4 linked regions of the Alligator mississippiensis genome follow. The protein of the gene in region 1 purifies or fractionates together with the protein of each later gene. This does not show direct contact. Links are inferred from orthologs where the notes say so. Each region holds a gene or a part of one and is shown in the gene's direction. Other genes may lie near its edges. The genes, in order: BAG2, CEP170, AMBRA1 and tubulin alpha-1A chain.

Region 1 (7,278 bases):
CAAATAATTTCGGAGTCTTAAGGGAAACCCATGATTAATCTTTATGGTAAATACTGTGCGTCACGCAGGCCATAGTAATCTTTACCAAACATGGTTAAGTTTATAGAACCATGAAGTCGCAACATTTTCTTTCATAGAAGGAAAGTTTCCCTGCTATTCTCTCTCCTTCTTAGAAATAGCAACAATAATAATTTCAGGTGTGGGGACAGAGAGTTGTAACACTGTTTTTCTACAATAACTCTTTGGATGGAAAAGCGCAATATCTTAACTATTTGGGCCCTCTGCAAGGAGAGAACTACATGCTGGTCCCTGCATGGCTGCTCTTCTTCCCCCCCCCCCCCCCCCCCCCCCCTTTTCTCCTGACACTATCTGACCTTTGTGCAAGGAGGTAAACACAGTAATAAATGTGTTTGTTTTTTTTAAATGGGATACCACTCAACTCACAAAAGTTATGGAGCAGAGTCTTTAGTTGATAAAGCTTAAGAACCACTGAACTGGACAAAGAAATAGAATTATTACAGAATAAATTACCACATTTTTCTTATATACAGCTGCTGGAACTTGAGGTGCATGTTTTAAGTGAGGAAAAATAGTAATAGCAGCTTCTGCTGCATAAGCCTCTGCTGTAGGAAAAAGGAAAGTAAGGCTGCACAGCAGGTGCTGCCAGCTAGGATCAGGAGCTCAGCCTACCTAGCAGGCACTGCTGCTGTGCCCCCAGCTCAACCAGCAGCCAGAAGTGACATGGAGGGAGAAGGAGGGATTGGGGGCAGCCTGAGGCTGGGGTGGGTGGGGGAAAGCATAATAGGAGGTAAGCATAGGTGGGGAGAGAGGTGGCAGGGAGCAAGCTGCCTTCCTCTTCCACTGCCTGCCCCATTACTACCCCTTTACCACCTTTCCCCACACCACCTGCAGTAGTGGGGGGAGATGAATTTAAGATGGTCCTCCAATAATTCAATTCCACACCTGGATAATTATAATAAATGTATACATTTTCTGTGTGTAGAATCTAATTATTGGGGGGGACAACCCCATTTTATATCAAGGGTTGTCTTGTGTTCAGGTAAATATGGTAATAAAGCATTTTACAGGATACATTTTTTACATTGTTTAATTCTTTACTCTTTATACACTATCCATTTAGAATAAATTATAGCCTGGATGGAATAAATGCATCTCAAAAAGAATACACAGTGGCAGATCCAGACTGAATGTGTCTGCTATCCCATTTCTGGGGATACAAGGTACCTGTTCTTCATGACTAAACAAAATAGAGCAAGTGCTACAAGGAAATTTGTTGCACAATCTAACAGGGCAGCCACTCAGAGAAGAAGGGCATTATAGTAAACTAGGCCAAGGCTGGCTGAGTGGTTTGGTTTTAAATCAAAAGCATTTGGGAAATGATGTCATTTTTAATGGACAAGCCTGAGAGAACACTTTGATTCATACTACTGTGAGCATGCATTAAGCATGGGCAACATCAGTTTCCCTGACTGAAAGGCAAAAGTTGATTGGTAAAGTGTGTCCAGCCTTCTTGGGAAGTGTGCTGGAAGTTAGGTCCAAAGTAGTGCTACTGTGATTATCAGCCACTGCTGTCATCCAGTGCCATCATTTGTCACCAGGATGTGGCAACACTGAATCAGGTGAGCCCAAACCCTTGAGCCAGCATTGGTCCCAGATTGCCACTCCAATCCCTTTCCCTTTCCAGAGTACCGCTCCAACTCAGTGCCCAGGGCATGTGCGCCAAACATAATGACTGCTAATGCCATAGGTTGGCCACCAGTGGGGTGGACAAAGTAGTATCCTTCCAAAGAAATTGGGGTTTTCAAACTCCTGTCGTCTCTGATCTAAAATGGATACAAAGGAATGGCAACTGGGCCCTGTATGTGACTTATTAGAACCATGTGTAATAGTGAGGTCAGAGGAGACTTACCTGTGTATGGTTGCTTCTTAAGTCAATTATTGTGTCTTACAAATAGCACACTCTTCTTAGATACTAGTAGGCGCTCCCTGACTCCTCCTTATTTCTGTTATAATTATCCTATAAGTGGAGGCAAGGTAGGGCTGTGTGGTGTTTTACACCAGTGGGTGTGTCTACATGTGGGCTTTAATGCAAATTAGCCTCTCCTAATGCACATTAAATCTCACAAAAAGTGCTCTTTAGCTAATGCACATCAAAATAGACTTAATGTGTATTACCTAAAGCAGTGTTTCTCAACCTGTGGGTCATGACCCAAAAGTGGGTTGCAAGAATATATGAAAAGGGCACAAACAAACTTTAAAAATTGATTCTCCTTTAAAGGAGAAAAATGTGGGAAACGGTGCTTTTCCCTTGCAGGCTGGTGGATCTCCTGCCTGCAAGGGGCTACCTAGAGCTCCCAAGGCCAAACACCCCCTGACACTGGGGGGCTGGGGCCTGGAGGCACCAGGTCAGGACTGGCCACTGATGCTTACAAATGAGTCCCAGTACAAAAAGGTTTAGAACCACTGAACCAACAGTGCATTAATGAATGCGTTGAACACTGATCTCCACCCTCTTTAAGTAAAAGATCACTTGAATTAAAAAACAATCCAAGATCTACTGTGCCTCCTCCCCCCCCCTCCCCCCCTGTTGCAGGTCAGTCTGTGTGGTGAAGGGGAAGGGAAAGGGTAAATCAAGGCGGAGGGAGAAAAAATTATTTGGGTTCTCAGGGTGCCCCCCTGAGCAGGTAAGTCTGTGGGAGAAGGGACAGGGGGAGTAGAAAGGGCTATGGGGGGAGGGGGGCAAATCAAGGCTCCAGCAGTGAAGGAGAGAGCAGGGCACAGGTAGGAGCAGGGGTGGAGTGAGTGGGGCCCCAGTCAGGCTGGGTGGTGGGACATCTGTGTGCAGTGAGGGTGGAAGCGACAGCCGCTGTATGCTGTGCTTTGAGCCCTGCCCCAAGCACCACACAACACCATGTGTGTCCTGCCACTGGGCTGGCAGGGAGCACAGCGCAGCTGCAGCAGGGAGCAAAGCCCAGTGTGCAGCGGCAGCCACCTCCACCCTGTTCATAGATGTGGTGGGTGGCATGTGCATGCACTCTCTCAGCACCCCCAACCTCAGATCAACTGGCAGATTGACCAGTCCAGCGTGATTGATGACTGGTTGATGACCACTGGTGTAGAAGGACCCAGTAACCAAGTGTTAATCCATCCTCTGTGAAGTAGATAAATTGTATGAATTACTTGCACCATAGCATAGGGGAACCCAGAAGATCAAGCAAAATGACAGCATTTCCAGCTGGAGGTACAGCTATTCCTGGATCGCCCCTGACCACACAACAGCTTCTCTAAGCATGGTAGTGTTACCAGGCCTCTTTCGTAATGTTACTATTAGCTGGCAACATGAAGCAGCCTTTATGATTAGAATTGGGAAGTCGCTTTATGTAAATAAAATGTCTGAGTCTGTTTGTTCCTGTAGCATGGTTTGAACTTCTTTCCATGCTAATTTTAAACATGTTGGCACACATTTTGCTCTTTTTTTTTTTTTTTTTTACATCTTTTTTTCTTTTATTGCATCTCCTTAAGCTGGTTGAAACTGCAGCTGTAGCTCACATTTTTAGCTGGGATTTACTTGCCTTCAGGACTCAAGCCGGACTTCAGTAAAACGATCATTTAAAATGGAGGTGGGAAAGGAAGACTTCCTGTACCAGTGGGCGGCTGGTGCAGCCCTGGTCCAAGGCCAGCCACAGGTACTGGGATAGGAGTGAAGGCCTTAGGGCAGCTCTTACCAGTGTGGTTGTAGCCTAAGGACACAAGCGGAGGAGGATTTTGGGGCAGATGTGATTTCTTTTATTAGACCAACTAAATCATTGGAAAAATTCTTTACAAGCTTTCCCGGATAAACACCCTTCCCCAGGCAGAGCAGGGTCTCGGTATGCCTGAAGGAGGGAGGATCTTTGTGCCCGAAAGCTTGCAAAGAACTATTTTTGCAACTATTTAGCTGATCTAATACGAAGTATTAATAGAGCTATCCAAAAAACCTCGTCTGCTTATGGCAGCTCTAGGCAGAGCTCACACGTCGGCGGACCCGGGATTGTGCTTGTTTCTCTCCGGGTTTCCGTCTGCGGAGAGCGGAGGAGACGCTGCAGTGCGGCAGGCTAGGGTTGCGGGCCGTCAGGCTCTGGCGCAGGGGCCGGGCTGCGGCGACGTGGCTTCAGGACGGGCTGTCCTGGCGGAACCCACCCGCGCCCCCAGGCACCAGCGCGGCTTCTCCTTCAGCCGCCGGGCGGCACCGCCCACGTGGCGGGCCGCTACATAGCAGCGGCCCCTGGGACTGGGCTGCGCTGCCCATGCCCGCCCCCCTGGCCGCGGGCGGAGCTCGGGGGTGGCGCATCGCCGGGCTCCGAGCGGTGGCGGCTCCGGGTGAGGCAACGCCATGGCCCAGGCAAAGATTAGCGCCAAGGCGGCCGAGCCCCGCGGCCGCTTCTACCGCTCCACATCTATGGCGGATCGCTCCGGCCGCCTGCTCGAGCGCCTCGACCAGCTGGAGCTCAGGTGCGGGCGGGGCGGGGCGGGGCGGGGAGGGCTCCTGCCGCCCGGCTCGGCTCGGCTCGGCTCGGCTCCAGCTCTAGCTCTCGCACTTAGTCCGCAGCTCTTTATTCAGGGCTCGGCTTTATGCATGAGATATTATTGTACATTTTAAAGAGTAAATATACGCTTTGGTCCTAATTCTCACTCTTCAGCTTAATTCACATTACTAACAGCCCTTAATTGTGGGCAGACTAGCTTTGTAAAAGGAAAGCAGGTCTCATCATGGCACTCTCCCCTTCTCGCGCTCCTACTTTGCAGCAGTGGGCACCTCTTCCCCGCCCATCCCCAAGCCTCCAGGCTTGGGCCTGCACATAGGATGCCCCCCAAAAGACTTTGGAAGTATCTGAAGCCCCTGGTGGGGGTGGAGGATGTTTGCCGGTTTAGGGCCGTTTACAGTTCTGGACTGACTCTTGGATTTGGACTCTATTTGGCTTGGAACATGAAAAATGTTTAAAAAATTGCCTCTTCCCTGTCTGGCATTACTTCTTGTCACTGCCAAACTTCACCCACCCTGGGGTCTTCCACCTGCACTTGCAAAACATCTTATTTCCATTTTGTCTGTGGAGAACCCCCCCCCCCCCCCCGAAAAACAAAACAACCCTCAACCCCCCCAAAATGACATACACATTTTCATTTCTACCTAGGAGAATGTTTACAGTCTTTACGATCTTCCGTGCCTGGTGATGGGTGCCTGTGCCCAGAAGCTTGCAAATAAAGAAGTTTTGTTGCAAATATCTAATAAAATGTATTACCTTTGCCACAAGTTTTGATTCCTTTTGCTTCTTGGTCAAGACAGCAACAATCTGGATACCTGATTGGAAAAAAAAAAAAAAAGTCCTCCATATTTTGGGTTGAATACAATTAACAATCACTAAATTTGGGGTTTTTTTAGACCTCTTTCAAACTCCGAATGGTAAATTTTGAAGTCACTTTTAGGTGGTCTTCCAATGTAAAAAAAAAATTTTTTTTTTCCAAAAGGAAAAGTTAAAATGTGTCATTAAAAAACCATCAAACCAGAATGTCATTTTAATTTATTTTTACTTTTTTCCCCTTTAAGCTAAAGCTGCACTTTTTGGTGCACAGACTGTTAAAAAAAAATTACCCAGCTGTAGTAAAGCAGCTTAAAAGAAGAGAAATCTCACCTTTCACACATTGTTTTAGTTACAGTAACTGAAATTGTGGGTTTGTAACTATAGTAAATGAAAACTTTTCATATATAAATAAGGTCTTTCAGTTGATTACATTCCTTGGCTATCACCACCCCTAAAAATACTGTGCTGTATATATAGTCTCAGCTTCTCCTTTGCTGCTCCCCAGATACAACTTTGACTACTACGTCCCAAGGGTTTGCTCTCGTAAGCTTGTCAGACTTGCTTGGGTCTGTGCATAGACATGCAGCCAGTGGATTTATAGAACTATATAGTTAATGCCTTGAAGAATTAAGTACTTCTTTTAGACAGTAACACCAATAATTTTTCTTTGATGAGGGGCTAGGATGGAAAGAGAGTAATGCGTGCCATATTAAGACTGAATACTTGTTGCATTGTGCTTGGGAGTGGAAACGTAGAAGGGTCCAAAGATGGAAGCTAGTAAACGGACATAGAAGGGAAAGAGAGAGGATCACCCTTTGAAACCGGGCTGTAGTGCAACAGTTGTTTAGATGTGCTGGCTTGGCCATTAGGGAATTGCTGCACAGAGAAAATTGGTGAAAAGGAGTACAGGTGGCCATTAACTTGGAATATTAGTTGTTTCTTTGAGCCTGAGTATCACCATAACTTTCAGTATTCTCCAAGAAATGTCAACTGCAATTGAGAACAGGTTGAAAGTGTCTATTTCTGGGCTGTATTTAAATTAATGCAGTGTTCTAAATTATATTTTACATATATAAAATCAGATGTACTTTTTTTTGTCCTGTCCATCACCCTCCTCCCCCCCCCCCCATGCCATCTTCTGTCTTCTTGACACTATAGAGGAGCTTTTTTGTTTATCTGTAATTTTATTAAGTAAATCAATTACCTGAGCAGAGAAACATGGCTTCTAAATTGTTCATGATATTCAACTGAAAAAGTGCTTCATTGTGTTTATCCTAGTTTCAAAAAAAGACCACATAGTAAAATGCACACAGTGACAGAACTGACAAAGAGCCGCTAACCAATTAAAAAATGTACCTCAAATTATATTGCATAAGCTTTAAATAGAAGTAATTTAAATGATTAAATGTGGTAGCATGGGGAGAGTTCTTAACAGCTCTCACAAAGAAACAAATACCAAGTTTCTCATCTGGTAACGACAGTGCAACCTGCATCTGTTGCACTGGGTTAAGCTGTGTTCTGGTAAGGAGTGTAGCACTAGAGGAGGATCCTGAATTTGCTTTTAATCACTCTTAGGCCAACTAAAATCAGAAATACAGAGAACAGTGTTTTCATGATATTCAAAATGATATATATATTGGAAGATAGAATGCAACCTGTTACCCTATTTTTTAGATATATAAGGAGTGCTATATCACTGTGGTATCAAGAAAATTTTCTTTAAGTACTTCATTTGGATATTTGGGTTTCTTTTTGTCTCCTTGTTTTCAAGCTGCTAAGGGTACACAAGTCACATTTTCAAGCTTTTTCTCTGCAACTGTTTAAAAATTGAAAACCAAGATCCTCATCTAATCTCATGATTCCAAGAGATGTGGGTTTAAGAAGAGCTCTCCCAAGATTTGTGTCTAAAAACTATAAG
Region 2 (7,606 bases), about 110 Mb from region 1:
CTCATTGCCCTGGGACAAATTCCTCTTAGGTTCTATGAAGCCTCATCATAATTGATGGATGAATTTCATATAAAATACAACTGTATCTCAAACAATAGGGTAAGACTGAGAAAAGTAAAACTTTAAAAAGATATTGCGGGGGGGTGACATTTTTAATAAAAGGGAATAGTAAATATTATCATAGGCTAATCTAATCTGAGTCACAACACTGAATAAGCAATACATTAACTGCTTCACACACTTTTTCATGATAAAACTAAACTTGTTTTTAAGACAGTGGATCTATAATTAACCTAAGGATCAAGCACTTGCAAAAGACCACCAACACACTCACAGAACTCTGAAAAGCAACAGCACTGGCACTCCTAAACTGACAAAAGAATACAGTTGAAGGTGACCTCCATTAAACTTGTCACATTATCTAAAAATGTTCCTACTAAAAAGTAACCTATAGTCCAGTATCACATAGTGATCCCCATGAATATAGATAGCTTTAATACTAAAAAGTTAAGCACCCAAACAACATGATTTTGTGTAACAAGTACAAAAGGGTGGTGTCTGGGAGGATACTGATCTAAAGTTACACAAATCTGAAAGGACAAGAAATACTGCTAGATTTGCATTGTTTGTAATGAAACCTAATGGGACTCATCCTCAACAACATGCACATCATGAGGCAGGAATGCAGAAGAGAGAGAAAACAAGAATCATCCTAGGCAAAGAAGCATTGTGTAATGAAAACAGTTCCTGATACAATCATGTTTGTAAATGACAAGCAATGCTTCCATTTCAGAAGAATCACTTGTAAAAATGAGCGAGTAGATACCTGTGCTTATACCAGTATGTATGTGGCAGACTACACTTGGATTGCAAGCATCCTGACGCCCATCTTGCTGTAGTCATCTGATTGCAGCAGTCTTTCTGCCTAAGTGCAGGGGGGCTGGACCTGATGATCTGTAAGGTCCCTTCCAGCCCCTAACAACTATAAAACTATGAAAGAATCCAAGTAGAAACAGAGGAAGGCACATCTGAACCTTGATATTGTTCAGAGTTGCAACCAGTAGTACTGGTCAGGAATAAATTAACTTAAAGCATAATAGCACTTACGTTGTCTGGAAAACACAGGATATTTCTATATTTGAATGAAAAACATGCATGACTCAGTTTGTACACTCACTTTTCTGTTGTTAATCATTATATGTGAAAAGATTCATTTCTTTCCTGAAACACAGGATAAAGGCAGGCAGTGAGTGAGTGCGAGTCCCAGCCACATCTGGGCTGATATGAATGAACCATCAAGAACTATCAACAAGTGAATGAAGGATACCACCAAACAGCAGCAACTTTTGGTGAAGTTCCCGTCAGAACACTTGAGAACAAGCATAACTATGGCATAAACCAAATAACTCAAGAAGTGAACAGCGGTGAGTCTGAATTATGAATACTCAAGGCAAGAGGAAGGTCATGCTGACAATATGCACGTTTCCTGTAAGCTTTGCTTTTTCATACCAATTTATACAAGCAGCTTACATAAAATATACTGGTGGGATATGAAATGCTGTCTTGTTTGCATGAACACTGAACACGCTTTTCAAAACATCTGCTGGTTGTTTAGCTCCCCAGAGATCTGCCAGATATCTCCATTAAAATCGACTAACTGTAAGAAAAAGGGTTCTCAAGCCAGGGACCCAATGTCAGGCAGGGTAGCAAGGGGACAGGGTTCACCCTTGTTTAAAAAAATGCAGAATACTGAGACTGGCAGAGTCACACACACTATGGTATCAGAAGACAAAACAAAGTAAATGAAGAAGGTAAAGGACATATGCTTGACAAATGTGTTAACTGCAGGGTTGGGAAAGGATAGGCTTCTCTCAAAATGTAGAGGTTAAATCATTTGTTTATACCTTCTCTAGAAACTTACCAGGGGAGACCAGCGGGGAATGGTGCCCTGTTCCCCCGAGCACCCCCTGGAGTAACAAGGAATAATGGCCATAAGTTGTTTGAGAGTAGGTTCAGGCTGGACATTAGAAGACGCTATTTCACAGTCAGGGCAGCTAGGATCTGGAACCAACTTTCAAGGGAAGTGGTGATTGCTCCTACCTTGGGGGTCTTTAAGAGGAGGCTTGACAATTACCTAGTTGGGGTCATATGAGCCCAGGATTCTCTCCTGTCCAGAGCAAGGGGTCAGACTTGATGATCTACTTAGGTCCCTTCCGACCCTACATCTATGAATCTATGAAGTAGTAGAAAATAAAGTGGTGTAGTTAGTTAATTTAAATGTAAAGGATTTTCAGGGTGAAGTACAGGACAAGATTCTAAAAAAGAAAGTAAAAATAATCCCACTTTATACCAAGAAACATTTTAAGGGCATACTGGATTTTAGTGACAATTCTTAATATGAGGCGGGCAATTATTTTGGCTGGAGGGGCACTTAATGAGTTTTGGTGAGCTGTCGAGGGCCTCAAGAGTGGCCCTAACCCATCACAAACACCCCATCCCCTGGTCAACATCTTGGGACTGGAAGTCCTACCCCAACCTCTGAACTTTGCCACCGTAAGTCCCTCCCCTTGCTCCTGGAAGTACTCCTTTTGGGAAGGGGGCTTGGAACCGAAAAAAAAAAATCAAAACGAATTATACACTAAAAATCAAACATCCGTAATAATATATTTTAATTTTATTAAAAAAAAATTGTCTTGATTTGTGTGCGTTTGTGCCGTATACATAGAAGTAATTGTATAATAGCTCAAAATGAAGTCTTACTCTTGTATATTGTGGGGGGGGATTGTGGGGGGGGTGGAGCGGTGTGGCAGGGTATGGGTAGGTAGGCATGGGGTTTGTGGGGAGCTGTGGGGGTGTGTGTATTTAGGTGTTGGGTGGGTATGGGGGGCCTGTGGGAATGTATGGATGTGTGGGTGGGTATAGAGTTTGTGGGGGGCTGTGGGGACTGTGCGTGTAGCAGTGAGTGGAACTTCCCCCAGAGGCAGGTGGGTGTGTGGTGGGTACCATATCTGTGGGGTGTGCGATTGTGTGGGGGAGGGTGTGGTTGTAGGATTCGCAGGGGAGGGTTTGAAGGTATGTAGGGTGTGTATGGGAGCCCCCTCTCTGAAAATGCACATTTCCTGTGCATCAACCTCACGTTTAAGTGATGCTTTAATATGCAGTAAAATAGCCTACCACGCACGCATTAGAGCGCATGTGTAGACATGCCCTGCATAAGCAAGGATTTGGGCCACCAGCATTTCAAGTTATTCCCAGGCTTAATACAGAACACAGTCCTCTACAAAGCCCTCTCAAAAACTACTAAAGGTTGGATCTCTGCTCTGATTCCACTTTTCGTCAACTTTTACAAGCCTAAAACAGGACTTCTTGGGAAAAGTCACGCGTCCCTCATACTGATTCTAGATTTATTGGTCAGAGCTGTGAATATTCCCCCCTCCCCCATGGTCCTATCTGACATTGCTGTTTCAGCCAAAGCCGCAGTGCAGGTGTTGTTACATTGGGGATGAAGAGTCTTATGCTGGCACAGATGACTATTTAGAGGGCAGAAAATAACTTTTCAAATCAGAGCCCTTGTAAGCACAGGGATACTGAACTACCTTCAAAAGGTAGGCAAGATCTCATGCACGTGGCGCAGAGCTGTGATTCATAACCTTTTCTGAACTCATTTGTAAACATCAATGGCCAGTCCTGACCCAGTGTCCCCGCTGCCCCCCTCCCCCTAGTGTGTGGGGCAAGGGGGGGTATATGGGGTGAGGGGCCTGGGGGGCCCCAAGCCGCCCCATGGGGTGGCGTGGGTGGGGGGGGGCTGGGGCCCACCTGAGAAGCGCTCCAAACCCCGCAACTTCCCGTCGAACTAGAACTATCACTACCACCACCACCTCCCCGCTGCTCCGCTCACCTCGGAGGCGGCTGTGGTAGCGCTCCAGAGACTCTTCCAGCTCGGGCTCTCCCCGGGGCTCCCGCATGAGGCCGAGGTCCGGCTCCCGCCGCCGCCCCCTGCAACCACTGCCGTCTCCAAGGCGAGGGGCAGCCCTGCTCTCCTGCCCTTCCCGGCCCGCGCGGGCGCTCGGCAGCTGTAGTCCGGCCGCCTTCCGGGCCCCGGGGCGCCCCGCAGCCAGGCCCTCCCAGCAGAACTACAACTCCCGGCAGGCCGCCCAAGAGCCGCTTGGCCGCCCGTTGCTAACCGACCAGCACGAGGCCCCGCCCCTCACCTCTCCCTGACGCGCGAAGAGAGTCCCCCTGAGACTACGCTTCCCAGCATCCACCGCGAGCCGCCCCTCCCGCTACAAAGAGAGACTCTTCAGCGCCGCTTCCCCTTTGTTGGATGCGCGACCCGATCTGCGCGTGCTCACTCCCCTCCCCCTTCTCCTCAGGGTCTAGATTTGACGCATGCTCAGTCGTGACCTAGAGAAGCGGCGGGCAGATTCCCCCTGCTCCTCCGCTGCCTGCCTGTGGCGCATGCACAACGCACGCGCCCCTCAGCCCGTCATTGCCTGGGAGCGTGCGCCTGCGCACTGAGGCTTCCTCGGGGCGCGCTCGGCGGGGGCCGCGCTTGCGTACTGAGCTCCTCCCCTCCCGAGCCTCCGCATTGTGTGCGCGCGATCGGGTGGCGCTTGCGCAGTGGTGCGCCGTGCTCCGTGCCGTTACCCGCTATGTGCGGGGAATAACGGTGCGGCGGTTACTGGCGTCAGAGCGCGGCGAACAGCTTCAGTGCCGGTCCGGCGGGTGGTGGGGCAGTAAGTGGCGGCGGCGGCGGCGGCTGCACTCGGGCGCCCCTTCCCCACGCGGCGGTTCTCCCACGGGGGGTGAGTGCGGTGCCCCGCCCAGCCCCGTAACCGTTAACGGGAGGGGGAGGGGGACAACGAGGCCGGGGGGGCATTGTGGACGGGCGGCGTCCTCTCACCGGCAGCTGGTTCATTTTCTACTCCTCATCCCCCCCCTTCCACCTTATTCGGCAGCTCCGTCCTCTTTGAATGAATGGAGCTGCGCCCCCTTCCCCCACCTTGTCCATTTGGAAGGGGAGGGCAGAGACCCCCCCCCCTCCACCCCTTCTCCCAGGGGGCTTCCCCCACCCTGGGTCGCGGCCGGGCTGGAGGGAAGGGGCGGGGAGGTGCTGGGAGTGGCCGCGAAGGGGTAACGAGCGGTGCAAAAGAATAATAATTTTAAAAATATCAAAAATGCCGTGATGGCGGTTTTCCAACCCGAAGCAAGAGGAAGCAGAGTCTGGGCTGAGAGGCAGATGACAGGTCTGAGGATGAGCTGTGGTCTGTGATCTCATCCACACGCAGCCCCAGGCTGGTGGCTCTGCAGGGGGGCAGGGAAGAGGAGGGATTCTGGTCGCAGTTGTGTCCCTGGTTCCAAAATTGCATCCCATTTGGTATCCGGGGTGTTTGTTAGGCAGCCACCGTTCTTTGGGTAGATGTGATATCTTTTATTGGATTGGAAAAAATTGCTCTTTGGCCGCACCCCCCCTGCTTTGTCAGTCTGTTTTCTTGGCATGGGGAGGGGCTGCTAAGACCACCCCTCCCTCCTGAGAGGAAATTCATCGTGTTTCTTATTTTTCACCGGATTTCAGTGTGTGTTATGTTAAGATGGTACATGTTGCTGCTTGAAATGAAAACAAGCTCTTCTTTAGTTGGGGACTGTTCTGGTGTGAGCAGGGGGTTGGACCTTCTGCGGTCCCTTCCCACCTGAATTTTCTGTGATCCTCTGAAAATGCTGAATGCAGGAAGAACGTCCCACAGTTCCAGTCTCACGTGGAGGGAAGCTGGCTTTCGACAAAAGAGAGCTCGTGGCAGTGAGCTAGTTGTCAGCTTTCGAGATGTCATTTTGCGTGCATATTCTGGACATGCGAGTCAACAGCAATGCCACCTTTTCCTTACAGATTTAAGGTGTATTTACTGTGTAGTTGAGTAGAGGATGCAGAATGGCTGAACTCTCTTATGACCCTTAGTGGAAGGAGTGTTGATGGAGAGGATCCAGTGTCATGTAAACACCTTCTGTGAAGGCAGAGGTATTCATAAAATATTTAACTGAGTTGAGAGAATAAAACCTGGTCTTGTATGCTGTTTGATGCAGGTGGGCACCTGTATTTCCATGGAGATCCACTCAGAGCAATAGGACTATGTGAATGGATTTACCCCTCTTAAATGGCATGCAGGATCAGGACCCAAAGTCCAAGAGAAACCTGTAAGGGAAAACACGTGCTTACATATACTGTGGTTTCCATGTTAGCTTCCCAGAGTGTTCGGTTTTGCCTAAATGCTGAATAATATATCTGGCCAAAAAAGGCACTGTAAATGTGAAATCTGTTTGATCTTTAAAAAAAAAAAAAAAAAAGGTGTATACTTGTGATTTTTCCCAATCAATATTTGAGGGTTTGTTTGTTTTTAAAGGAAACAATTACTGTACGTATGTTTTTCTTTCAGCTTTTGCTCTGTTTAAGGCTTACACAAACAAGGGAAAGTCACTGGTGGGAAAACACTGAAGTTGGGGAAGTGTAAGATTTTGTTTTTAGGGCATGAAATAAGCAATCTACAAAAGGGAGTTTTTTCCCCTCATCTTTCAGTAGCCTAGAAGTTGCTTGTAATAATATCAGTTACTTTAAGTGCAGATAGACCTTTATAAATTGTTTGCATCCTTTAAATGTGAAGCTAGACTCTGAAAATTGTCTTTTTAAAAACTTTATTGTGGAATTCCATCTTTGTCTGATTTTGATTTCAAATTTGCTGAATTTATAGCTGTTAAAAAGACTGCTTATGCATAGCAGTTTAGGACAGTTCATAATTTTGTTGATAAAAGAATCGCACGTTAAAAGAGTGAACTGGAAACATTTGAATTCTTTACATACAGGTGACAAATATCGAAACTTCCCTTAGCACCTGAATAAAGCCAAGTCCACCTGTAGCTACAGAATCCAATCTTGTATTCAAATGTTTGCCTATGTGCATGCAAATCTAACTTGCTTAATATAAACTGATGCTGAGCTGTTTTCCTCAGTTTGGAAATAGTGCATTCTAGTGTCACAGCTGTTCCTCTTAGCTTTGGCAAAAAACATGAAATTAAAGTGGATCTGATTAGTTTCTGGTTGTTGTTCAGAACCATTTAAGAAACTGTGAAACTAATCAGATTCATATCCATCTCTGGTGTTTGTGAAATCTTTTAACGGGTAAAAGAGAGGCACTGAAGCTGTTCCTGAAGCAGAACACCAGGGTGTAGAAATTCTCATCTCTGCTTCAGCAGCTAAGGTTGGTAAGATGGAAAGAGTAGCAGAGAATTCCCTCTTGCAGAAGCTCTTGAAGGTAGTAGTGCAGATCTTCATACACTAGAATAAGTAGGAGATTATTAGAAGTATGGAGAAGTAAGGGTTTCATGTCCTTTCTTGGGAAATGAAGTTTCTAATTTGTTAATTGGAAGTCAGTGATACCAAAGAAGTTGTACGCAATTACTGTACCAAGTAATTAGTTAAGAATACTGCTTGTTAGGAATTTCACTGTACTCCCTTTTCCTAGTAGCAAGGGGTTTGTTGTGGTGGTAGAGGTTGCCCCTGGATCTTGCAGTCAGATATTCTTTGCCTTTTTTAGCATGAGCTTTTGGCTAGTAAGCT
Region 3 (7,619 bases), on another chromosome or scaffold:
CTTTTTACTTTTATGAATGCTTATTTAAACTTTTGACTAATTTCTTAATTTTTTATGTCATTTCCCTTCCTAAAGTTGTATATGAGTATGGTGGACATTTTTGTCTTACTCCCTCCCACGCAAGTGCTGAATGGGATTATGTTATGGTCACTATTACAGAGTGGCTCACCAACAGATACCCCTTGAACCAGGTCCTGTGTTATTCAGGATTAGGCCTAGAACTGCTTCTCTTCTTGTGGGTTCCAAGATGAGTTGTTCTACAAAGCAGTTGTTTATCGCATCCAGAAAGTTTATTTCCAAGTCTCACCCAGATGAGGTGTTTACCCAATCTGTGAGAGGATAGTTGAAGTCTTCCATTATCATCGCTTGTCCCACTTTAGCATCTTCTTTAGTTTCCCTGAGCATTTCATAATCATCTTCACCTTCCTGTGCAGGTGGTCAAAGTACAATCCTAGCACTATATTATTTTTATTCAAGTATGGAATTACTACCCACAGGGATTCTATGGCAGTTTTCTTTTCAGGTATTTTTTTTTTATGTTGCTACTATTTATACTATCCTTAACATACTGTGCCACTCTTCCACCAGCATCCTACTCTGTCATTCCTATATAGTATGTAATATGTTAGAACAGCACCCCATTGATTATTGTCCTTCCACCAAGTCTCTGAGATTCCTTTTATGATGAAGTCACCATTTAATACCAGGCATTCTAGTTCACCCATCTTGTATTTTTTAGGTTTCTGACGTTTGTGTAGAGGCACTTATAAATTTTGTTTTTGCTCAGCTGCCTATTACTGCTCACACTATTTGTTTGGCACACTGACTTATCCTGACTATTATCTAGAGTTATACTTCTTACTCTCCTACTATCCTCTTCAAGCTGTGAAAGAATTTGCGTGGTGTCCCCCTTTGGGGTTCTTTCAGCCCTGACCTGTGTGTTCTTCCGCACCTGTTGGCTTTTCTCCACTTTTCAGTTTAAAAACTGCCCTACAGCCTTTTTAATCTTTAGTGCTAGCAACCTGGTTCCATTCTGGTTCAGGTAGAGCCTGTTTTTTTCTGTATGGATTCCTCCATCCCAAAAGGTTCCCCCATTCCTGATAAAACCTAAACCATTCCTTCCTGCACCATCATCTCATCCAAGCATTGAGACTCTAGAGCTCTGTCTGTCTCTCTGATCCTGCACATGCAATGGGAAACATTTCATAGAATGCTACTGTGGAGGTCCTGAACTTTAACCTTCTGGCTAACATCCTAATTTTAGCTTCTAGGACTTCTCTCCCATTCTTCCTTACGTTTTTGGTATCCACATCGACCATGACCACCAGCTCCTTTCCAGTGCCCACTAGTAGCCTTTCTATACATCTTGTGAGGTCTGCTACCTTTTGCAATGGGCAAGCAAGTCACCATGTGGTCCCCCCTAGATGTCACAATCCCAGCTATTTATGCACTAATAATGATCAACCCCCCCGCCCTTGCACTACAACCACCTACTGTCCTTTGTGGTCCCCTCCCATGGAAGAGTATCCTCAGTACAAGAGGACACTCTGACATCAGCTGGAAGGTGGGCCCCATCTAAAGGATAGTTTCCCTCCTTCTCAGCTTGATGCTCTCATCCATTCCTGCCTGAGGCGCTCATCCTCCTCAGCAACATGGGCTTTGCTACGGAGGTGGGTCTACTCTACAATGTCATTGAAAGCCTCATCTATGAACTGATCTGCCTTAGCTGCTCCAATTCTGCTACCCTAGCCTCAAGAAAACATACTTGTTCTCTCAGAGTAAGGAGCTGCTTGCTACCTGGGGAAGGTAATCATATATGCTGCACCCAGTACAAAAAACAGGATAGTTCTCTGTTGGCTGCTGGATTTTTACCTTAATTTTTTAAAGCGTTGAAAAATTAGTTTGCTTTTTTTAGTGAGGCTTTTATTTATGGATTCCCTTAGATTAGAAACATTGAATTTATGATTTGACCTGTTGTTTAACCTTACTCTATCCTAATTGCAGCTAAATATTACAAAAGGACTTTAGTACTGGGATTTAAAGCGAGACCTAAATGCTACCCTAAATGCTAAAAGCTAATTCAAAATAAGAACTTCCAAGGCTCCTTTTCAAAGAGGATGCTGCATGGGTATTGTTACAAGTAGGTCTCTGATGAAGCCAGACTCTTGGAGGATGAGGAAGTAGTGGGAATGCTCCATCACGCTTCATTTGTACCTCATCATGAGAAGAACTGTCTTGACTGAATCTTCCTGCTGTTTTTTTCTGTCAGGATCCAAATCTTTAAAGGCCTTCAAGTGCTTCCAGGAAAATTTTGATTACCAAACAGTTGTGCTAGCAGACTCATTTATTTTCTATACTTCTCAATGTTCAGATTGCACACTTTACCTGCATGTTCCAAAACATTCTTACCATTGTGTAATGTGCTGGAACTCTTTTAATATCCTTAATGCATGATTAACCAATTGAAATTAGAACAGGATGATTTAAAGAACAGAAGAATAGGGGTGGTTCATTTTCATATCTGATAAATTGGATGCTTGGTTGGTTAAATGATCAGTAGCTTCTGAGGTCACAATGGTCTTGTGACATTCCAGGTAGTTGTTATGCCAACCGCTATAGAGATTCTGTAGTTGGCGGTGGAGGCGAAGTCCGCAGAAGGTGACTGAACTCTTAAGAAACCAACATCTTGTTCATGTAGCAACATCTTTAGTAATAATGAGCCAAAGAGAGAAGTCCCAAGATCAGAATAATGTTCTGGAAGGACATTAGAGGGAAAATTCCCAGGAGGTACAAACAGTCATGCCTTTTTATAAGGAGGATGACTGGATAGCTTGCTCCAGGCAGTTGAAAGCAACTGGAAGTTATGAGGAGGTTGGGTGGGTCAGGTGTATGGGGAGAGGAATGCTCATTGAGAACTTTGAGGGACCTGAATTACTGTGGAGAGGTATTAACTTTATGCGAGTTGGTTACTGACATAAGTGGGATTATTCACTTGTATGAAGTCAAGCGCATTGCAGGATTGACCTCTTGGTGTGAGGATGGTGGGTGGAAGGAAAGTAGTAAAAACAACAAGCAGCATTTAGTAGCAAAGCAGAAGGCTTAGCACTTCACATCTTTAGCCAGTGCTGGGCAGGCATATTTGGTTCACAAAGAATCATGGGCATGAGCCCACACAGAAGCAATTAGCCCCCTCTGGTTCTAGAGGGGCCTTTTAAGAGCACCAACAGGGTTCTTGAAAAAGCTAAAGCAATAACAGGGAGAGGATCAGAGGGGAAGCACTTATGCTGGCCAGTGCCCACTGGCCCTTGAACAAGTCCAAGAAGCTGGTAGACACTGCCCAGTGAAATTGTGTCTGAAGACATGACCAGATGAGGGACAGGCCAATTTGTTATGTTGTAGGGATAGTGGGCGTAGGCTACAAAGTAAAATGATGTCTCCCTTGAAAAGGGAGGCCCATGGGAAACATAACAACTAATTCCTTGGGACCACTAGAGCAGTAACAGAGAAAGGTGTGGGTCAGAGGTTAATAACAAGTGCTTCAAGGTGAGTGACACCAAGCAGAGCACATGGGCTAGCACCCACTGGCCCTCAGATGTGACCATGGAGCCGGTGGACAGTGCCCAGTGAAACTCTGCCTGGAGATGGGGCAGGGAGACAGCTCCACAGTGTCCAGGTGTCAGCGGGTGGGTCAGAGGGACGGGTGGCTTAGCGAGGGCCAGGAGGAGGTTGACCGGGTGGTCCCAGCACTTGGTGGGGCCATGTGGGGGAGCCATGTAGCTAACACCCAGCAGCAGCAGGCTCCCGAGGAGGCGGTGGTGGGCAGTAGCCTGGCACCTAGTGCTGCACAGGAGCAGCTCAGGGGCATCAGGGCAGAGGGAGGAGGCTCCTCTAAGGATGAGGCAGCAGCTCCTCAGAAGCTGGACCAGTCTGGTGGCCTCCTTTGTGCAGCCAAAGGCATTGCTGGGGGAAACCTGAGACAAGGTGCCCGGGAGTGACAGGCACCAGGGGCCTGGAAAAGGGCGGCTCATGCCTCAAAGCGTGTCTGACACCTCCAGCATTGCCAGGTCTTAAATATAAAATTGTGGTATTGCAAGCCCAAAATTCTCATTATTTGCTGAAAAACCAGCGTATACTGAAAAATATGCAAATAAGCCTTTTTTTTCTTTACTTTCTATTGCTCACTGTAATCGCCAGTCAGTGAGAACTGGATCATCATCGTCACAGCTGAACCTGTTGAGGTGAGCAGTCATGAGAAGATGCTGACAGCAAACCCCAAAGTGAGTTCAGACTCCCTGAGACTTATTTGGGTTTTGCATATACTGCATCAATCAGCTGCCTCCAAAAAGATCGGACACGCTGAACGCTTTTACTGATGGTAATGCCTGTCCACCCGGCCACACGGGGCCCCTCTCCCGCCGCCCCGCAGCGGCCCGCGGAAGATGCCCGAGCCACGACCCAGGCTAGCCCCGCCCCCGCCAGGCTCCTGGCTCTCCCCATCCTATTCTCCGAGCTCGATTGCTCTAGCCCGTCCCCTGCGCACGCCCGGGCTGTTCCGGTCTGTACCAGCGGGGTGGAGCCCTCGCCGCTCGGCTGGTTGCGCCTGGCACGGCTCTGCATTCGAGCGCTCGGGCCTCGGCGCCGCTCCGTCCCGCCGCCCGTGGCTCGGCTGCTCGGGCCTGGCTCGCGGGCTCGGCGAGCGGCTGTGCGGCCTGCGAGCGCTTTCGGGGCGGCGGCGGCAGTGGCAGCAGCGGAGGTGGCCGCGCTGCTTCCCCAGACCAGGCCCGGCCCGCACCAGGTAGGCGCTGGGGGCCAGCTCCGTGCCCTGCTGCCCCCGCAGCCACCGGGAGAGGGGCCAGCGGGGCTCGGCTCCTCCCCGAGACCCGTGGGCCTGGGGCCTTCTGCTGGAGCTCCCCCGGGACTGGGGCTCGCCTAGGAGCGCCGGAGCGGAGCAGGCCCGGACCCTGGCCCGGCCGGGGAGGGGAGGGGAGCAGGAGCGCGCCTCTCCAGAAGAGCCCGGAGAGATGACGCAAGGGGGAAGAAGGAAGTGGGAGTAAACCGTTTAATTCTGGGGTGTAGGTTTGAAAGGATCCTGCTCTCTGAGGAAGAGACTTCATGCTTCTGCCGGGAGGCCTGTCACCTGTTGTTGGGATGATTTGTGCCCAAGAATCTTATGAAATCATGGCCGGGGGAATCACTCGAGGCCTCTATATTATTATTTTTTTCTCTAACTTACTTCCTAGGTTTTGTAGCAGGCTAAGGTTTCCCAAATGGTCAGTTTTCCCTCCAGCTGTATGTCCCAGTGACTGGAAGAGGGGAGACAGAAATCAGAGAAACACAGTCCTGCACAAACGTTGTAGAACTGGCAGGTGGGCTTGAGAGCCAGTGTAGGACCTGAAAATATCCTAGACTTCAAATGAATGTTTTTTACATTTTGTTCTATCCATCCCTTTTTTTTTCTCCCTCTGTAGTGCTTTTAAGATGCCCACAATATGGCAAAAGGCAACTTACATCTTGACCTAAGTGTCACTGTCTCTATCTTCCTTTCATCCTTTGTTCCACATTCAGTTGATTGCAGAGTATTGAAAATGTGTATTGCAGAACATTGCTTTTTTACAAATGATGCTGTGATTGATACTGTAATACTTGGTCACCTTAACATTTTGGTTGCATACAGTTTAAAAAAAAATTTTAAAACACTTTTTTTTTCAATTCCTTTTTTCTAAATCAGTCTTCTAGATCAGTGTTTCTCAACCTGTGGGTTGCAACCCAGAAGTGGGTCGCAAGAATATATGAAAGGGTTGGGACCAAACTTGGAAAACGGATGAACAAGCTTTAAAAATGGATTCTTCTTTAAAGGAGAAAAAAGTAGAAAACCATGGCTTTTCCCTTGCAGGCTGGCAGAGATTCAGCTTGCCAGGGGCTGCTTGGAACCCCCACAATGCCCCACGCACCCACCTCCTGCCCCATGCACTGAGGGCCTGGGGGTGGGGTGCACAGGGTCAAGACTGGGGTACTGGGTTGGCACTGGCCATTGATGTTTACAAATGGGTCCTTGTACAAAAAAGGTTGAAAACCAATGATCTAGATGCTTGTGCTTTTTGAATTTTTTTAAAAATTTGTCTTGATTGTGGCTGCGGTGTGTTAGTCACTTCCTAAACATGAGAGCTGCAGGCCTTGTCTTAAAAAATAGCTAAAAGACTAGCAAAGAAGAGGTATCATGACAGAAGTGAAATAGTTAGTGACAACAGCAATATTTTTTTTTTCTTTATACTGCTTCTTTGTGATAAGAAAGAAAGTGTCTTTGAATGTTTGTGCCTTAGCTGTAATCAGGAGCCTTACAGGTGTCATGACAGTAGATCAGGGGCGGGCAATTATTTTGGGCAGAGGGCCACTTACTGAGTTTTGGCAAGCCATTGAGGGCCACATGACCGGCAGCCAGGGGCAGATAAATATTAATTTTCTAAATGTTTTAGGGGTCCCATGAGCTGGACAGAATGGTCTGGCTGGCCGCATCCATCCCGCGGGCCGCATTTTGCCCACCCCTGCAGTAGTTGCTCTTCAGGAGGGATTCCAGTTAGAGCAGGTCCTGCCCTTGTAGATGTAGTTCTCTGTCCCCCCTCCATGAAGAAGGGCACTCAAATTTTTATATAAGAATCTGATATGTATTGCTGCATTCATTGCTACTTGTAGCTCCTCCCAGTTTGGCATCTTCTGCAGATTTCACTGTTCTTCCTATCCTTCTTCCAAGTTGTTGCTGAAGCTGTTAAAACTTGACAGGGATCCTGTGGTATCACTAGGTACTGTTAGTTCACTACATTGCTGTTTTTAAATTTAGTTTCCCACCCTAGGTGTTTCTTTATGTAATAAGGTCACATCTAAGCACATTTGAATCAGTTTTGAATAAGAGAAGGGCAAGGCTTGAAAGACTGTGTTAAATTTCAAATGTAGCATTGACTGTTCATCCACTAGCATGTCAGAAATAGTAATAAACCTTTTTTTAAGATCTGTCAGTGATAAACCCTCTTGCTTATAGTAGTTCTGTTATCCACTATCAGTGCCATTAGCAGGTGGCAGGGAATGGTGGCACCTTAGCAACTAAATGGTTTAGAAAGGCATGAACTTTCATAGGCAACAAACTACTTCATGAGGTGCTATATGCCATATAGCATATAGCATCTGACCCTGTGGTATCATGAGAGTATAGGTGCCTGTTGTTTGCTGTGTATCTAGAAATAACTGCCAGTTGGCTTTTAGCTAATAAGTCAAGCAAAATTGTGTTGTCAAGTTGGTGCTTGCCTTCTGTATAGCAGAATTGTGGATTATTGAACTGGATCTGTCAGAATTTTTCAGTCACCTATGTATTTATGGATTTGAATATTTTATCTTGTTGCTTCTTTTCCTTTGTAGGATTCTTTAAACCTTTCCCATCTTTCAACCCCTCTGGAACCTCATACTGCTAATGTTATAGTTAGAGAATTTACTGGATTTGGGGCACTTTAACAAATATGTTCTGCTACTACTTTTTCATTGAGGCTATTTTATTGTAGGTCTGGTGAAAGTTTTGCTGGGTAATAGATATGGGATTCATACTTGGGATTCTTAGTTGTGTATTAGCTTGC
Region 4 (7,939 bases), on another chromosome or scaffold:
TGCTCCCCTTGGCCTCCCTGCAACTGCTGCCCATCCTGGGCTGCACCCTCCAGACAGAGCCAGGGCCCAGCTCTACCCTAGGGGAGCTGGTCACTCAGGGACTTGCCCCAGAACTAACTTTGGCCCTCAGCATCTCCCTGCTGTGTCCATGCAGGGCCTTACCCTGGAGTGGCTGCTCTGGATTAGTGCTAGCATGAGCGTGTGCCTGGACACCACCCTGGCCCTGAGGCCCCGTGTCCCTGTGCCAGCCTGCGCTGTGTGACCGGGGTGAGATGCCCCAGAGCCACAGGGAATGGGTTTCCTGCTCCCTCAGCCCTATGGCAGCCAGAAAGGAGGCCTTCCCAGTGAGCCCCGCTATGCCCAGCTCTTTTCCACCCAGGAAGGGGGTCACTGAAGCCCAGGAGGGAGCAGGCTCTTCCCACCTCCCCACCCGGTCCCTAGCCTGCAGCTGGAAACCCCCCCACCAAGGCAGGCAGCCAGGCTCAGCTCAGACCACAGGCTCCAGCTGTCTTGGGGAGAAGGGCAGGGGATGGCCAGGGAAGGGCCAGCTGAAGAACCAGGGCCAGCTGAGCCACCAGGCTCCTCCCTCCGTGCCATGGGCGTCCGCGCCTGCCGCAGCCGGGGAAGGGGGAGAGGCAGGAGGAGGAGAGACAAAGAGCGGAGAGTGCTGCGCTGGCAGGCGGAGCCCATCTCCCTGCCCCCTCCAGCTCCCGGCATGGGAACCAGCCTGGAGGGGCCCTCGGTCACCCCCCATCAGCAGGCCCCCCCCTCGCATTGGCGCACCAGGACGGGGCTGTCTGTGCCAGGGCCCCACCCTGTTTCTCTCCTGCCTCCTGGGGGGACCCAGGGGTCATCCTCAGCTGAGCCTTGGTGGAGGCTGAACGCGGACAGGATGCACGTATCCAGAATGCCCTGCACCCACTGCTGTCCTGCCAGCCCCACCCTGCTCATCTGCCGTCCATGTGCTTGCGCGTGCTTTGAACACGCCGGGCCGCCTTCCCAGCCGTGCCGCAGCTTGCTGAGCCGCTCCACGCGTGTTTGCAGCGGTGGGGCGTGGTGCTGGTGTAGTGAGGCCAGAGTCCTTCCCTCCCCAGGGTCATCCCAGCTGCATCCCAGGGACGCTCCCACGCTCCCCTCCTCTCTGTCCTGCCATCTCCTCCCCGCCAAGGCAGTCCTGGCACCGTAACAGCTCCAGCTGCTCCCAGGCTGGCCGGCTCTCATGCTCCTTCTATGGGAGGGGAAGCAGAGAAGGGCAATTACTGAGGCACATCCAGGCCAAGCCCCTTGCCGGCCCCTGTCCAGGCTGCAGGCTTCCCTGATGCACTCAGCACCCTGCTGCTGCAGCCCTTTGAGCTGGGAGGAGACAGGACAAGGAGGGCCCACAGCACAGGGGTCCTCTGGATGGCAGGAGGGAGGGCAGGGGGTGCCCCACCTGGGACAGATGAGATGCAGACCCCCAGGACTGAGAGACAATCCCCTCTCCTGCATGGCGTTTTGTGCTGCTGCAGCCCCCAGACAGGCAGCTGATGGCCCAGGCTGCCTCCCCGCCCCCACGCCGGAGAGGGAAGCCATGTGTCCTTCCGGCCGGTCGGCAGCTGGGACGCCCATCTGGTGCCAGGGTCCAGAGCCTGTATGCGCTGGGGGAGAAATTCCTCCCCCCAGGGCTTGGAAAGGCACAAAGGATTGCTGCAAAGGGGATCGCCCATCTGTGCCTAGCCAGGGAAGTTGCTTGCTGGGCTGGGCTTGTCCAAGCCCAGATTCCTGGGTCCTCAGGCTGCAGCAGGCAAAGCCAGGACCCCCTTTCTCCATCTGTCCTTGGGCATTCCTGTGGTTAGGGGCAAAGTGGGGGGTCAGACCTGCACCCGCAGGGGACCAAGACAGGGGCGCACAGGGCACCCTGCACTCAGCTCCTGGGGGTCCCCGGGGCCCAGCTCCGCCCCCACCCTCCCAATGCTGCTTGTTTGGCTGCCTCATGGCCGTTGGAAGGGGCTGGCTCTCAACCGCCGGATGCCTCCTCCCCTGCCCGGGATCGCTGTGCGAGGCCTGGCTACCGGCAAACACAGCCGGGGAGGCCCAGCAACAGTCTCCTAGAGCTGCCTCGTTGCTACCAACAATCAACAGAGGCTGGTGCAGGAGAGGCCACCCCACAGCCAGGGACCGAGTGGTGGGGAGCAGCTCTGGTGTAGTGAGTGTCCCGGGCAGCAGCCTGCAGGATGGGGCTGTGCTGAGCACCCCCGCCAGGGCCTCAGTCCCTTCCTAGCTGAGAGTGGCCCTGCCCAGCCCCTGGAGCTGCTCTACCCTGGGCCTGAAGCTTGAGGCCGTCACTGGCAGCTCCTGTGGGCAGGGGGACCACGGACACAGGGCTGACACCCATGCTCAGGCGTGGGCAGCAGGACCCTGGCAGGACGACGCAGGGCTGACATGCATGCCTGGGCGCGGGGCAGTGGTGGATTAGCACAGCTTTGCAGCCCTGAGTGTCTCGCCCTGTCGGCCTGCCCCACTCCTCTTGCCCCAGGGAACCAGGAAGGGACCCCGTCACCTTCCAGGGTCCCCTCTCTGCCCCACCGTCCCCTACCCCCTCCCTCCCTGGCGCAGCAGGCAGCGGCTTTCCGCAGGCCACGTGATGGGCAAGGTGATAAAGGAAGAGCGAATGCCACCAGGGCCTCCTGTTCCAGCTCTTAGCAACCAGCTCGTTGCCTAGCAGCGGTTGGGGGGGAAGGACTCTGCCTCGCATACCTAATGAGGCTGTGAGCCTAGAGCCACAGAGACCCTCCATGGATCTCCAGAGCCTCTGGCTCCATCCCGCACCCGCCCCTTGGGGCTTGGACCTATGATGCAGGCTCTATATTCAGCCTCATGCCCCCCCCGATGATGAACAAGGGGTATGGTCTCTGCAGGGGGAAACTGAGGCATGCAGTGGTGACCTCACTCCTGCCACATCATGGTGCAAGGGCAGGGCAGGGTTTGGATGCAGGTGTCCGAGTCCCCTGCTCTGACCTCTGCTTTTTCCTTCCTCCCAGAGCAGGAGTCCAGCTGCCCAGGCCCCTTCCCGTGGGGGAAACCAGGGCCAGCCACAGCCACCATCCCCCAGGGGCTTCGCCCAAGGGTGACAGGAGGGGCTGGGGACAGGCAGCTGCGGAGGGTAGGGGGGTCAGTGTGGACCCTGGCTCGGGGCCCCAGCCAGGCCCGGCCTTGACTCCTGCTTCCAGCACTTCTCAGCTCTGTGCCTTCCCCCTCTTCCAAACACCCCTTGTCCAATTGCTGATGGCAATGCCCAGGCTGGGACCTTGGCAGGCATCCGCTGCCCCCAGCAGGATGTGACCCTGGGAGCAGATGGGACCAACGATCAGGATGCGAGTATCCAAAGCAGAGCGTACGAGGGTGAAAACAAAGCTGGAGCCGTTTCCTGCCCCATGCAGGCAGCTGGAGGAGGGGGCTGGTGCCTGCAGAGCTGAGCTCCCGACCTGTCCCTGCCCCCTCTTAAGAGGGCATGGAGCATCCAGGGGCCCCATGCTCAGGCCGGGGCAGCACTGCTCCAAGTCCTTCTCTCTGCCCCTGTGCCCAGGCAGGGAGGCAGGGGCTGGGTACAGGCTAGGGGCTGCCTCCACATACTCCAGCGGGGCTAGACAGAGCCAAAAGCCCCACCTGGTCACAGGGCTCGGGCCAATTCCTGCCTCTGGCTCCCTTGTCCCAGCCGTGTCCTCAGCACAGCTCCATGGCACAGGATGTCTGACCCAGCTGAAGCCTTGAAGGAGCTGTCCGGGGCCTCATTCCTTGGTGCCCGGATCCCGGTATCTCAGCAGCTTCACAGTGGATGGGAGATGGGGTTAGGGCTGAGTCCAGGTCTTCCTCAGCCCTCAGTTCTGGGACAAAGGAGCCCAGGCTTTGTGTGCTTGCAGCTGGAGAGCACTGGGGACAGACACCTCTGGGGTGCCAGAGCCCAGGAATAACCTGGGGGGTGGGAACCGAAGGGAGCTCGGGACTAGCAGGGAGGGGCCCGGAGTGGAAGGCAAAGTGCCAGTGCTGGGAGCAGCCAGGGCAGGGAATGGGGTCTGGGGGCCACGCCCAGGACAATGGGGCTCTTCTCCTGGCTCTGCCCAGGCAGAAAATGGGGCCTGGGGGCTGCACCCAGGACAAAGGGAACCATCCCCTGGCTCAGCCCAGGCAGAAAATGGGGTCTGGGGGCCATGCCCAGGACAAAGGGGACCATCCCTTGGCTCAGCCCAGGCAGAAAATGGGGTCTGGAGGCTGCTCAGGACAGAAAATCTGGTCTGGGGGCCACGCCCAGGACAAAGGGGACCATCCCCTGGCTCAGCCCAGGCAGGAAACGGGGTCTGGGGGCTGCTCAGGACAGAAAATCTGGTCTGGGGGCTGCGCCCAGGACAAAGGGGACCATCCCCTGGCTCAGCCCAGGCAGGAAATGGGGTCTGGGAGCCGTGCCCAGGATAAAGGGCCCTTCCCCTGGCTCAGCCCAGCTGCTCCCTGCTCCCCCCAGCCCCTGTCGGCAGCTGCGGTGCAGGGCGTGGTGGTGCCCCGGATCCCGCAGGCAGGGGCAAGGGGGGGGCACAGCCGCTGCACAGCGGGTACCAAGCCCCCCCACCCCTTCTCCCGCACAAAGGAGCCCTGCCCCCCGGCTCTGGAGCAGGTGGGTTTCCAGCCCGGGCCGGGGGGGCTCACAGAGCTGTCCGAGGGCAGCCCCCGACGTGCGGGCGGGGTGCGGATGCGGGGCACGGCCCCGCCCGCTGCCTTTGTCTGAGGATGCCCCCGGCTCCGGGATGCTGGGGGGGGGGGATGACCTCATCCCATCCGCCGCGCACCAATCAGCGCCGCCCTCCCCGGGCGGCCCGCGGCGGCTGGACCAACCGCAGAAGCCCCCGCCCGTCCCCATGGCGACGGGGATGTATATAGGCGCGGGGCGGGGGCCGCGCCACGAGTTCTCTTACATCGACCCCATAAGAGTCGCGCTGTAAGAAGCCGCCTCCTCTCCCGGCCTCTTCGCCAGCAGCAGCATGGTAAGGGCCGGCAGGTCCCCCCGGCTCCGCGCTGCGCCGGACCGGTCCCAGCTGCCGCCCCCGTCCCGTGCCCCGGGCGCTCCGGTCCGTGCGGGGGAGCCGCGCCCTTGCCTGGACGGGGCGGCCGCAGCCCCAGATGCGGGGCAGGGGGGCGCGGGTCCACAAAGCCCCGAGGCGGGGCCGGGAGCGGCGCCGGGCTGGTCCTTTGTTCCATTGATGCGCGGCGGGAGGGAGCTGGCGAGGCCGCCGATGAGATCATGCTGGAAGCGGCCGGAGCCAGCGCAGCCGCGGGCGGGGCCGGGCGAGGGCTGCCTGGGCCCGCACGGGGGTGGCGTCGGGGAGGGGGCGAGGGGCAGCGCGTGGGGAGAGCCGGGAGAACCCAGCTGGTTCTCGGAGGGGCTGAGCGGGGGGCTCCCAGCTGCTCCCGCTGGGACCCGGAAGAACAATGGGGCGGGCGATGCTGAGCTGCAGGGTGACACCCCGCCATGGGTCCTGGGGGAGAGCTGGGTGTGGCCGCACCCGCGGGTGACAGTCCCCTGGCACCTCCCCGGTGGGGCCCCCCACCCTGTTGGCAGTGCTGGGGGACTGGCTCCTTGCAAGACGCTCCCCAGCAATGGCTGCGCTGGCTGCATGCCCTGCAAAGGCTGCCGCTAGCTTGGTCTGTGCCACGCCCACATGCGACGGGGACCATGATGGCTCCCACGTTGGGGCGCTGCAAGGGCAGAGGCGGGTGTGAAGCAGAAAGCTCCAACCGCAGCGTGGACCCAGTGCATGCCGCTGCCAGGCTAATGGCTTCTCTTCTCCGGCTTTTCTCCGCAGCGCGAGTGCATCTCCATCCACGTGGGCCAGGCCGGCGTCCAGATTGGCAATGCCTGCTGGGAGCTGTACTGCCTGGAGCATGGCATCCAGCCCGATGGGCAGATGCCCAGTGACAAGACGATTGGTGGGGGTGACGACTCCTTCAACACCTTCTTCAGCGAGACCGGAGCTGGCAAGCATGTGCCCAGGGCTGTCTTTGTGGACCTGGAGCCCACCGTCATAGGTGAGTGTGCAGCCCCCACCCCAGACATACACAGGCTTCCCCATCTTCCTGTGCTCAGGTGAGCCCCTGCATGAGGCCCGTGCCTGGGCAGGGACATGCGGCACTCTGCTCATGGGCTCCTGCCTCCCCTCTCCCCAGATGAAGTGCGCACTGGCACCTACCGCCAGCTCTTCCACCCTGAGCAGCTGATCACAGGCAAGGAGGATGCCGCCAACAACTATGCCCGTGGGCACTACACCATCGGCAAGGAAATCATCGACCTGGTGCTGGACCGCATCCGCAAGCTGGTATGCATCAGTTCTCTTGCAGGGGGGTTAGGCAGGGGCAAGGACAAGGGAGTCTTATGGATGACGGGGCGCATGTGTGCGTGCACGTATATGTATATATTTAATCTCCAGTCTCTCTTACTTTATGTTTCTTTCTTGGTTCTCTTCCCAGCAGGCTCCTTTCCCACTGGCTGGTCCAAGGCTGTTAACCAAACACACGCACTAGCTATAAAGTCTATAGCCCAACATGCACTTATGTAGATTTCTTTCTTTAATATTCATAATAAAATTTAGCAAACAAGCTGAGGATCATTTGCCTTTTCCTATTATTATTATTATTATTATTATTATTATTATTTCTGATTTGGGCCAAGCTACATTTAGATGGAAAGTGATATTCAATTTAAAAATGACAGGGAAGGCATTTTGAAATGGTATTGGCTAAGAAAACTGCCTTCCGTAGTCTGGATCCATGAGAAGAAGCTGCCTTTTTTTCAAGAATATATTTTTAAAATACTATTTATTTAACAAAGGAAGTGTTATGTGGAGTTTGAATCCAGTTACAATGGAAGGCATTTATAATTAGTAACTCTACTCCCTAGACCACATTAATTCATAGATTAGGAGCTGTATAAGCAGGAAAGCTAGTTCTTTTGTTTAAATCCTGAATAGGTCAGAGAAGCAACTTGCTGTACTGAGTGCACTGAAACTGCCTCTGTCTGTGCAGAAGAGGCAGCTGCTGTTACAAGCTGGGTTAGACCCATCACATTCCTGTCCCAGGGATGTCCACCAGTTCCCTAAGGTGACCTTCTCGCACTTTGGCTGCTGAAGCACCAAGTCTTTCAAATGGGAAAGGAGGGCCTAGCAGCGCTCCAAATGTCATTCAACATGCACCTCTGACAACCGTGTTTGCCTACAATTATAGCATTCTCTGTACTTATTTAAAATGACCTTATCAGCCCTGGCAGCTAATGCGTGGCCACATTTCTTATTCTATGGCAAATAAACTCCGGCAGCGTAGAGCAGTGTCCCAGGTGGGTGGGTTGAGCTGGGAACACTGCAGAGTAAGAGGAAGAATTTTTTAGGCAAGGAAAGAAGAGAACTCGCATTCCTGCCTTCCTGCTCCTTGGAAACCAACTTCTTCCAACAGGACAGCTGGATAATGGAGCTATTGTTTCCTTTGTCTCTCCTCTCCGACAGGCTGACCAGTGCACCGGGCTCCAGGGCTTCCTGGTCTTCCACAGCTTCGGGGGAGGCACCGGCTCCGGCTTCACCTCCCTGCTGATGGAGCGCCTGTCTGTGGACTACGGCAAGAAGTCCAAGCTGGAGTTCTCCATCTACCCGGCCCCGCAGGTCTCCACAGCTGTGGTGGAGCCCTACAACTCCATCCTGACCACCCACACCACGCTGGAGCACTCGGACTGTGCCTTCATGGTGGACAACGAGGCCATCTACGACATCTGCCGCCGCAACCTGGACATCGAGCGCCCCACCTACACCAACCTGAACAGGCTGATTGGCCAGATCGTGTCGTCCATCACCGCCTCGCTGCGCTTCGACGGGGCCCTGAACGTAGATCTGACGGAGTTCCAGACCAACCTGGTGCCCTACCCCCGCAT

Evidence for each region.
Region 2: the proteins of BAG2 (region 1) and CEP170 purify together in Homo sapiens (affinity purification with mass spectrometry; 3 studies listed by BioGRID and IntAct, with this or other methods). This does not show direct contact. The link is inferred for Alligator mississippiensis from reciprocal best matches to the Homo sapiens genes BAG2 and CEP170.
Region 3: the proteins of BAG2 (region 1) and AMBRA1 purify together in Homo sapiens (affinity purification with mass spectrometry; 3 studies listed by BioGRID, with this or other methods). This does not show direct contact. The link is inferred for Alligator mississippiensis from reciprocal best matches to the Homo sapiens genes BAG2 and AMBRA1.
Region 4: the proteins of BAG2 (region 1) and tubulin alpha-1A chain purify together in Homo sapiens (affinity purification with mass spectrometry; 4 studies listed by BioGRID and IntAct, with this or other methods). This does not show direct contact. The link is inferred for Alligator mississippiensis from reciprocal best matches to the Homo sapiens genes BAG2 and TUBA1A.

The regions. Positions count from the first base shown.
Region 1 is NC_081824.1:51,387,019-51,394,296, forward strand, and holds the start of BAG2 (BAG family molecular chaperone regulator 2), read left to right. Parts: upstream 1-4,273; 5' UTR 4,274-4,393; coding exon 4,394-4,512; intron 4,513-7,278. UniProt on the Homo sapiens protein: Co-chaperone for HSP70 and HSC70 chaperone proteins. Acts as a nucleotide-exchange factor (NEF) promoting the release of ADP from the HSP70 and HSC70 proteins thereby triggering client/substrate protein release.
Region 2 is NC_081824.1:159,685,414-159,693,019, reverse strand, and holds the start of CEP170 (centrosomal protein of 170 kDa), read left to right. Parts: upstream 1-4,599; 5' UTR 4,600-4,736; exon of another isoform or gene 4,737-4,805; intron 4,806-6,027; exon of another isoform or gene 6,028-6,189; intron 6,190-7,606. Other genes in the region: SDCCAG8 (serologically defined colon cancer antigen 8), read right to left, coding at 3,899-3,965.
Region 3 is NC_081825.1:227,344,179-227,351,797, reverse strand, and holds the start of AMBRA1 (activating molecule in BECN1-regulated autophagy protein 1), read left to right. Parts: upstream 1-4,606; 5' UTR 4,607-4,795; intron 4,796-7,619. UniProt on the Homo sapiens protein: Substrate-recognition component of a DCX (DDB1-CUL4-X-box) E3 ubiquitin-protein ligase complex involved in cell cycle control and autophagy.
Region 4 is NC_081838.1:6,695,818-6,703,756, reverse strand, and holds the start of tubulin alpha-1A chain, read left to right. Parts: upstream 1-4,922; 5' UTR 4,923-5,009; coding exon 5,010-5,012; intron 5,013-5,831; coding exon 5,832-6,054; intron 6,055-6,192; coding exon 6,193-6,341; intron 6,342-7,520; coding exon 7,521-7,939. UniProt on the Homo sapiens protein: Tubulin is the major constituent of microtubules, a cylinder consisting of laterally associated linear protofilaments composed of alpha- and beta-tubulin heterodimers.